Neodiprion lecontei: one gene and its partners. The main gene of each other region encodes a partner of the protein of the gene in region 2 in a complex. Links are inferred from orthologs where the notes say so. Each region holds a gene or a part of one and is shown on either strand. Other genes may lie near its edges.

What was found. Proteins that work in one complex are often made in the same cells at the same time.
Region 1: U6 snRNA-associated Sm-like protein LSm4 (region 2) and U6 snRNA-associated Sm-like protein LSm7 share a complex: the UniProt entries of both Homo sapiens proteins name them as parts of the precatalytic spliceosome. The link is inferred for Neodiprion lecontei from reciprocal best matches to the Homo sapiens genes LSM4 and LSM7.
Region 3: U6 snRNA-associated Sm-like protein LSm4 (region 2) and U6 snRNA-associated Sm-like protein LSm5 share a complex: the UniProt entries of both Homo sapiens proteins name them as parts of the precatalytic spliceosome. The link is inferred for Neodiprion lecontei from reciprocal best matches to the Homo sapiens genes LSM4 and LSM5.

What each region holds. Positions count from the first base shown.
Region 1 is NC_060260.1:39,228,815-39,231,862, reverse strand, and holds U6 snRNA-associated Sm-like protein LSm7, read left to right. Parts: upstream 1-1,217; 5' UTR 1,218-1,293; coding exon 1,294-1,299; intron 1,300-1,396; coding exon 1,397-1,408; intron 1,409-1,500; coding exon 1,501-1,684; intron 1,685-1,828; coding exon 1,829-1,968; 3' UTR 1,969-2,448; downstream 2,449-3,048. Other genes in the region: chitin deacetylase 1, read right to left, coding at 2,451-2,729, 2,835-3,005. UniProt on the Homo sapiens protein: Plays a role in pre-mRNA splicing as component of the U4/U6-U5 tri-snRNP complex that is involved in spliceosome assembly, and as component of the precatalytic spliceosome (spliceosome B complex).
Region 2 is NC_060261.1:34,776,169-34,779,271, forward strand, and holds U6 snRNA-associated Sm-like protein LSm4, read right to left. Parts: upstream 1,956-3,103; 5' UTR 1,757-1,955; coding exon 1,754-1,756; intron 1,676-1,753; coding exon 1,634-1,675; intron 1,561-1,633; coding exon 1,462-1,560; intron 1,221-1,461; coding exon 1,013-1,220; intron 932-1,012; coding exon 834-931; 3' UTR 576-833; downstream 1-575. Other genes in the region: NADH dehydrogenase [ubiquinone] iron-sulfur protein 6, mitochondrial, read right to left, coding at 164-298. UniProt on the Homo sapiens protein: Plays a role in pre-mRNA splicing as component of the U4/U6-U5 tri-snRNP complex that is involved in spliceosome assembly, and as component of the precatalytic spliceosome (spliceosome B complex).
Region 3 is NC_060261.1:5,614,649-5,617,229, forward strand, and holds U6 snRNA-associated Sm-like protein LSm5, read left to right. Parts: upstream 1-1,087; 5' UTR 1,088-1,266; coding exon 1,267-1,312; intron 1,313-1,550; coding exon 1,551-1,747; intron 1,748-1,851; coding exon 1,852-1,884; 3' UTR 1,885-1,981; downstream 1,982-2,581. Other genes in the region: serine/threonine-protein kinase mos, read right to left, coding at 2,044-2,358, 2,425-2,581. UniProt on the Homo sapiens protein: Plays a role in pre-mRNA splicing as component of the U4/U6-U5 tri-snRNP complex that is involved in spliceosome assembly, and as component of the precatalytic spliceosome (spliceosome B complex).

The DNA.
Region 1 (3,048 bases), on a different chromosome or scaffold from region 2:
TTTTTTTGGGCAAAAAACTTTTGGTCTCAGATTCGATTTGTATGACGCTTTTATGACTAATTGGACCACCAGGAACTCAGAAAACGCACCAAAAAGAGCGTGGTACCAACAGTAAAGATAGTATGAAGAAAGTAGGGAGAAATTATCTAGGTGTTATTTATTTTATTCCAGGTTATGTAAAATCGTAACATTCCAATCTATTGTATCTATTGTATTCTATTACACGTCTCGTTTTCTGCGACGGTGAATTGCACCTGTACTAAGGCTGAAATTGAAACCGCACTTAGAAACTGCATTAATAATTATTTTGTACAACATTGTTTATATTCAGCTTAATGCAATATATATCGTAGTATTTTTTCCCTATGCTGTATTTAGACTCCTTGTGTCATGTTAGTTCATTGTTCTGCAACTTTTTATCTTGAACACCAATAACGTTGGAAATATTATCCTAATTATACCAGTGAATGTATTATTATAGGAATTATTGATATATTATATCATGAATACTATAATGCATTAGTGCAACATATTAGAACTATACTATTTGGAAATTTGGTAAATTAGTATACACTGACACCTGAACACTTGTAATAGAACTAAGGTACATTGAATAAACTGGAACTGGAACTTGGTAGCTATGAATTTGTTATTTTTCTCTTCCACCTCTTTGCAACTCGGTTTGCCAGCCGTAATGAATTCCTCTCTCAAAATTACGTTGATATTGGGTATGAATTAATCGATTTCAGCATTCACTAAAATTTGCCAAATATGACCTGAAAAGTTAAAAGAATTTACATTTTTTGCGATATTTGAAACAAAAATTTTTTTTATCTCAGCATCGATTTGTGCGATCCTTACTAGGCTAATTAGACCCCACAGAAGTCATATAAGGCTTTCAAAACCTTGTGAGATCAACAGCTGAAGAGACACGTAAAAAAATTTCCGTTCAGAGATGACAAATTTTATACCAATGAAATTCAAAAGGTTAAAAAGTTAGCCTTTCTTTTTTACGGCCAAAAAAATTTCATCTCACAAATCCGCAACGTCTTTGCTCACTTAATTCGTTCTATTTTCTACTTTCCACGTAATCAAAATCATACTTCCCACTAAATTCCACGTCAGAAGATCATTTCCATAAAGTTGACCATCTACATGTGTCGGTACGTCTTCGGTTTATGGTCGATGGCTTTTTTCCTTATTTTACGAACGCGGAATTCACAGTAATCATTCGTATTATTAACCGGCGGTCACTTGTTTTTTTACTACTTGGAATAACCTGAGAAGTAAAACATGTCTGTAAGTTTATCAAGACATACATCATGATTATAATACTCGGTACTATTACCTATAAATATGAAAGTTAATTGTCATTCCATAAATTTCTATTTTACAGACTGCTAATAAGGTAAATCAAGGTTATGTTTCAGCAACATAACCTTCAAAAATCGTCAAAGTCCATAAACTTAACTGTTATAATAACTTGAATAATGTTTTTAGAACCAAAATGCTCACACTGATCACAAGGAGAAGAAAAGGAAGGAAAGTATATTGGATCTCTCCAAATACCTTGAGAAGAACATAAGGGTAAAGTTTGCCGGAGGCAGGGAAGCTGCAGGAATTCTAAAAGGATATGATCCGCTCCTGAATCTTGTTTTAGACAACACGACTGAATATCTTAGAGGTACATCGTAGTCAATTAATCAGTTACCGTCTGTCCTTATAAGTCAAATTATTGATATTACCGCTTTGATAATTGGTTTGAAATCACTCAATTTTCAGAGTAATAACAAATGAGTAACATTGTGGATGATTGTGCCGTTTTCAGATCCAGATGATCCCTACAAATTGAATCAGGATACAAGGATGCTGGGGTTAGTTGTATGCCGAGGAACGTCGGTTGTTCTAATATGTCCAGTCGATGGAATGGAATCGATACAGAACCCATTCATTCAGCAAGATGGTTAACGGTTTATATTACACAAATTTTTATCTACAACCTTTTCGAATCACATAAGCTTGAAGAAAAAAACAGACCTGACACGCCATGTGTGCACATCCATCGACCATCGGTTTATGATTTGTTTCAAATGACTATGGATTGGTAAAACTCGAACATCTATCCTAACCACACGATGATCGATTTATTTTTACGTTCCACTACTAGATAATAAATATCATTTGTGGTTTTCTTCTCATGGTAGATACACATATAATACGTTCTTCGTACAAATAAATATCCTACTTACAACTAATTAAGGTACTCAGTCATATTCGAACAAATTACAAGCAAATCTCTGTGGTAATTACACACTCTAGATGTAACTACGTAAGTTCTTAAAATTATGGCATATTGCGTGATATTCTTATTGATCTAATTTCACCCTCAATTGATTTGTGAGAAAGAAGAGAAGTAAGTAAAATACAACGCAAGAAGAAAAACCGTTACCTTAGTTCAATCCAAACTCATTTCTTAACCAGGGATATTGTTTCGGACATTCGTAACACGTGTACAAATATCTATCAGACTTTAAGACACTACTGTACAACTTGCACGTGTTCGGCAAGGCGCAGGCAATTTCCCGGGGCTCGAATTGCCGCTTGTTGCAGTTCCATGGCTGAAAATTCTTTAGCTTGTTTAACGGCGTTGGATTTCGCATCCATTCAACCATTTGATTACTAGTTACAAAGTAAACGTCTGGAAGCTGCAGAGTGTCGTCAATGAATTTCTGGAATACAGAATAATAATCAATACATAACATGCTTGTAAATTGAAGGACTTTACTAATTTTGTGACGATTCTTAACGACGAGATGACAAAAGTTGACTATTACCGAGAACGCGTAGTGGTATGCTGGGTTCTTGAACCAAGCTGCATGAAAGTAGAGTCCATAGGGTGCCCGATTTTGTAGATAATGTCTGTTAAAGTTAACCGTCAGCATACGATATATTTCTTCCCCTGACAGATCCCGCGTACAAGAGTCAATCATGGTGCACGTGTAATTCTAAAACACGAACCGAAACAGCGATTAAATAGAAACTTCAGAG
Region 2 (3,103 bases):
TGATAGCAGACATAAAGATTTTAAATTTCATGGAATACGAATCAAGGTTTACGTCAACGCACCCAATTAAAAGTGCGGTAACAGTTCATTAAACAGAGAAAACCAAAGAAGATGAACATAACCTCACATTTACGTAACAGGATAAGTCGTAATTATTATTCACCTGGCCAGTATGCGTTTCTTTTTCGACGGGCTCCCAAGAAGCTTTGTTACGTATTCCGGTTGTGAAAGCCGGGACGTTTATTTTGCAAACTTTCGTTTGATTCCCAAGCAGACAGACAACTTTCTTGCACGCCATATTCACAACTACTGATCGGCTAATCTGTCTGAAGTTGCAGTGAGATAACAGCTGACTCACGGCTCTCGCTGCGCGACAGTTTCATAAACCTGTTCAAATGAGTACTCACCGTAGTATCTCAACGTGTTTCCCCGACCCGTGCACAAGTATCACAAGTGTTCAAGATACGAGAAAAGTATACCAATTATACGTTTCTTAATCCCTAATTTTTTGCTCTATTGAAAATAAAAATAGCAAGTTAAGCGATGAAGATAGTCGATTATTTCACAGATCGTTGTGATGTTCTCTCCGTATATTTTGCAAGTCTCATGCATGATGTTGATCAACTCAAAGTACTACAGCAATCAAACCATAACAGTTTTTTATAGAAATGATTATTATAATCCAATGGTGTAGTTAGATTCAAATACATAGATACGTATATGATGAATATCTCCGTGACATGCTACAATTAAAACATAACATTTCTTTACAAGTTAGAAAACCTGTATAACCTAGGGTAATTTCATAGTACAAACACTTATTAAATAAATATTTATTTGGTTCTTGGTTTGTTTTGGGGTTTGTTGCCACCTTGATTACCACCTCGACCTAAAGGCGCAGGGCCTCTTCCCCCACGTCCTCCGAAAGTGCCTGAAAGAACATAAGCATAAACTATGAAATCTCAAAATTCCTTTAATTGCTTCATTTAATGTGATTTTGACTATCGAATACCTCTGCCACCACCTCCACCTCCACCTCCGCCTCCGCCTCGACCGCCTCGTTGATTTTGACCGCCACGTCCTTTCATTTCACCTCGTCCCCTCGATTTCATTTGAACGTCTTCTTTAACCATGTCTATAACTTCATCTGGAATTCTAAGATACTTAATGGTACTACCACGAATGTAGCATTCTGGCATCCTCCAAAATTTGTCACCATCCTGTATTGACAATTTGTTATGATGATTAGCAATGATAGTATAGAATAAACTCAATAATTTACAGCAATTTTTATAAACACATTGCAATGAAAGTAGACTTTCCAAGGATGGTTAAACTGGAATGGAACTTTCAGCCTTACAGTACTGCACACATTATTTAACGAGTTTTTGGACGAGGTTACATTCAATGCTGTGCCCGTAGTAAATGTAAGCAAGCTAATTGAACGCCAACTGAGATTACCCTGGATGTGCAGATGACTTCTCTGAGATTAATGTTCATCCAATTATCACAGCTAACCAAGTGTCCATTGTATGTTTCCCCATTTTTGAGTTCGACGAGCTGAAATAAAAAATACCAAACTACAATTGGCAATAAGTAATGAAACGACTAGAATTTTGAGGTTAAGATTTACCATAGGATGATTTTGTGCTGTTCTCAACAATGAAAGCGGTAGCTGGAAAATGAAAGAACATTATTATTTGAATTTATTAAACCATCTACTGATCATAATTTTAGCATGATCAAACTTTACCATTTTTAAAACCTTCCCGCACGATTTGTTACGTGTGAAGTTTTAAACACTTTCAATTTCGACTAATGAAGTAATAAGTCAACATCACAATTCACAGCTGATATCGACCATATCGACTACATCGCCTATCGACTAGCGAGCTTCGATGCAAAAGTTTTTTACACTGTTTTTTTTACCGTCATATAATGCATATAAATTACCAAATGCGACTCGCGAGAGAAAGAAGTTAGGCTTAATGAAATCGATGCCAGAGTGCAGCACTCTTCAGATTACTGCACGGAGGGAATATGCTGAGGATTTAAAACTAACTAATTTTGATTCATATGAGAGGTAATTACAAAACATGAAATGAAAAGCTAATTTATTAAAAATGAAGAATTTACGTCTTCACACTGACTTGGCTCACGGATGACCATTTCAAAAATCTTGATTCTTGGCGCTGCCGACGGCTGACCATATTTTCGTTCAAACTTAGCCAACTTCTCTAAACTCCCGCGTTGGTGGTGCGAGCGCCACACGAACGCTACATTACTAGGCAGAGGATGCAGAAAATGCTTCTCTTCCGTATATTTTTCGGACACTCCTATGAAGCAATATGAAAGCTCGACTCACCGGCGAGATTTGAACGATGTTACTCCACTTTTTTTTAACTGAATTCTGACCCACCCAATCTCAGAATATGATTTGACTCATACGAATTCCAACATTACTCATACAGTTGGCTGAAGAATTTTGCATAGGGCCCGTAGAGAAATTACAACGAATAGCTTTATTTTGATACTATACGATTGGCGATTTATTGAGTAATATATATTTCTGTGTCAACATATATACATATACATATGTACATATACACGCGAAAAAACACACTGAGTCCTTAAACTATAAGTGTACATACAATACGTAAAGTTTGTATATACTTCGCTTATATACTCCAAGTAAGACTATTCAGTGTAATTTCATTGTTACTTAACAATATTGACTGCTTGGGTTGGTAACTATTCTATATTATACGTGTATTCGCAAGATCTTATCATACGTAATGTTTATATAGAGGTATAGATTATATTGTATGTAAATGTGTGTGTGTATATGTATGTATATTTTATATATATATTTAAAAGTTTGTTTCTACGAGCAGGGTGTTTATAATCCATCAACAAATGTGTATTACATACGAATATAGGTATATGTATACATGAATAATGAATTAGATCAACCGCGTACCTGCACGAGTAGGACTGTAAAATGTGTCAAGATTGGTCCGGAAAGTTTATGGGGAGGTGATCCTTCAGCTTCATCTTGGTTATCGCTATACTTCTAATGGAAATTAATATATAATCGATGACA
Region 3 (2,581 bases), about 29 Mb from region 2:
GTCAAATTTGGTCCGAAGATAGAATAAGAATAATAATACGAACGTTGAATGCAAAATGGAATATGTATTTGGCGTGTTCGTACGCATGCATACACGCACGTATATATGTGCGTAATAAATTTGTAGAGGCGAAAATTGTGCGGCAACCGGAATATGAGGTGATAGAATAGAACATTTCGATGGTATCATAACAGAAGACGGGGTGTTTTTGTTATCATTTTTTCATCATTTTCAACGGATAATATACCATGTGTAAATTAGGATGGAAGAGTGACTAGGTATCCAGATACCAAGTCCATTCGGTGAGTGTTCACGGGGCAAATCAATCGGGAAGTCTGTACGTTAGCGAGAAAGAGAGAAAAAGAAAAAAAAAATCGCGTGGTCAGGGAGCTGGGTAGACAGCCTCTGAAGTAGGTATATACAGCGTGAACAAAACGTCCCCTTTGACATTGTTTGATGATACATCTAACAAAGCGACGTGCGTATTATACATAACCGTTGTTGTTTCATTACAACGATATTATAATTAGATACTAGAAGTTGCATGTAGATATATATGTATTAATAGCTATGTATCTACGGATAGTAGAGAGCTTGTCAAATCCACCCCATCGGACACAACAATTAAAATGAATATTGTGATATCTCTTACCTCGGTACAGTTAACTCCGGGAAATCACTTTGAATCACTAACTTAATACAATTGTCATGTCTAATTGGAAAATAACTTTTAACGTAACTCATATTGCTCGCACATTGGCACATTTACAAAATCACACAAATAACGAAAGAGTTATACTTCTGCCATGTTCGGCTACAAATTCTACATTGCTGCTGAACCTCGCCGCTGATACCTTCTGCTTCTCCCGTCGACCGTCGCGGCGGCGCTGCTGTCGACATCGAATCATCACTGAATAATATGCGCCAAATGGGCAACGGCCAAAGGGCAATGCCAGTATACTCTGTCTCTCTTTCTCTACACTCTGATTGGCTGAGCATTACGAGATATGCGCGTTCGGCCAATCGCAGCGCAGAGCGAGAGAGACAGAGTGTACGGCAATTGCCTTTTACTGGGAAGCCACCTCCATGCGATATAAGCACGACGGCAACGGCAATGTGCGCGCAACTACCGGTGTTTCGAATCCAACGACGCGTAGTCATTTTACAGGACGTCCGGATTGCCGTCCCGCTTAATTAGTTGATTGTTAGTTGGTTAAAAAGTGAGGGTATATTAATACCGATTGACGAGACTATTCTGTTCCCAAAATGACTAGCTCTGTGACTACGAATCCATCCACGCTTTTGCCGCTAGGTAAATAAATAAAATAATAACGAAATTTTTCCTAACCTCTATGATCTAACGACAGAACGACGTTGTTTATTATTTATTTTTTGTGTATTTTTAAAATACGTTTTAAAATATATGCCATTAGTTCGGGGTAGTCCACGTGTCTTTTACATTCTCGTATTTTCTGCAACCTTGCTCATTATCGATCATCTTAATTTTCTCTATTAACTGATGTTTTATTTCATTGAATTTTACTTTACAGAATTGGTGGACAAGTGCATCGGCTCCCGCATTCACATTATCATGAAAAATGATAAAGAAATTGTGGGTACATTACAAGGATTTGATGACTTTGTGAATATGTTATTGGATGATGTGACTGAAAGCGAAGCAACACCCGAGGGACGCAGAGTTACAAAATTGGATCAGATCCTCCTCAATGGAAATAACATTACGATGGTTAATATGGAAATACAAATACATTTCGATAGCATGATGTGTTTAAAATGCACAACAAGGTTTATTGCAACAGTTTGACTATCATTTTTTCTTTCCTGTTTCAGTTAGTACCTGGAGGTGATATGCCAGAAACATAATCTCATCCCCTGTGATTTCATGTATAATACTTTTGACATTTACTGCTATGTGATTGTAAAAATTTATTCAAATAACAATGATTTTCTTTTGTAAACATTTCTGCATTGTCTTCCTTTTATCCCGTATCATCATTGAGCCTTTGCCATTTCTAATTAACTTCAACACTTTGCTTCGACCTCTAAATCTTGAAGCTCCGTTGCAACTCCATCTATACTGGGTCTATCTGTTTTTTCAAATGACCACATCTTTGAATACAACGCTTTATACTTGCCACCTAAATTATCATCCAGCATTGAATCCTCCGGTTTTATACCTTTCCCAGTGAGATACAAAATAGCGTGAGGATGGAGGTCAGCGAATGGCAAAGTCCTGCTTAGCATTTGCCAGGCCAAAATTCCCAGGGAATATATGTCTGAAGGTGGAGAGGGTAATTCCCCTCTGATTACTTCTGGGGCTACATAACCAGGTGTACCCTGAAAATATGGCATAAACCTGGTGATTTAGGGAATGAAATCGTGATGCAAAACTAAAAAACCTACTCGAATTCCTGTATATGTGTCTTCTTCCCCCAAAAGAACGGAGCTACCAAAATCTGCTAATTTTGGGTTGCCATCTGCGGCCATGAGAATATTTTTTGGCTTCACATCGGCATGAACCACGCCAGCTCGGTGACAGAATTGAATAGCGAAAGTAATT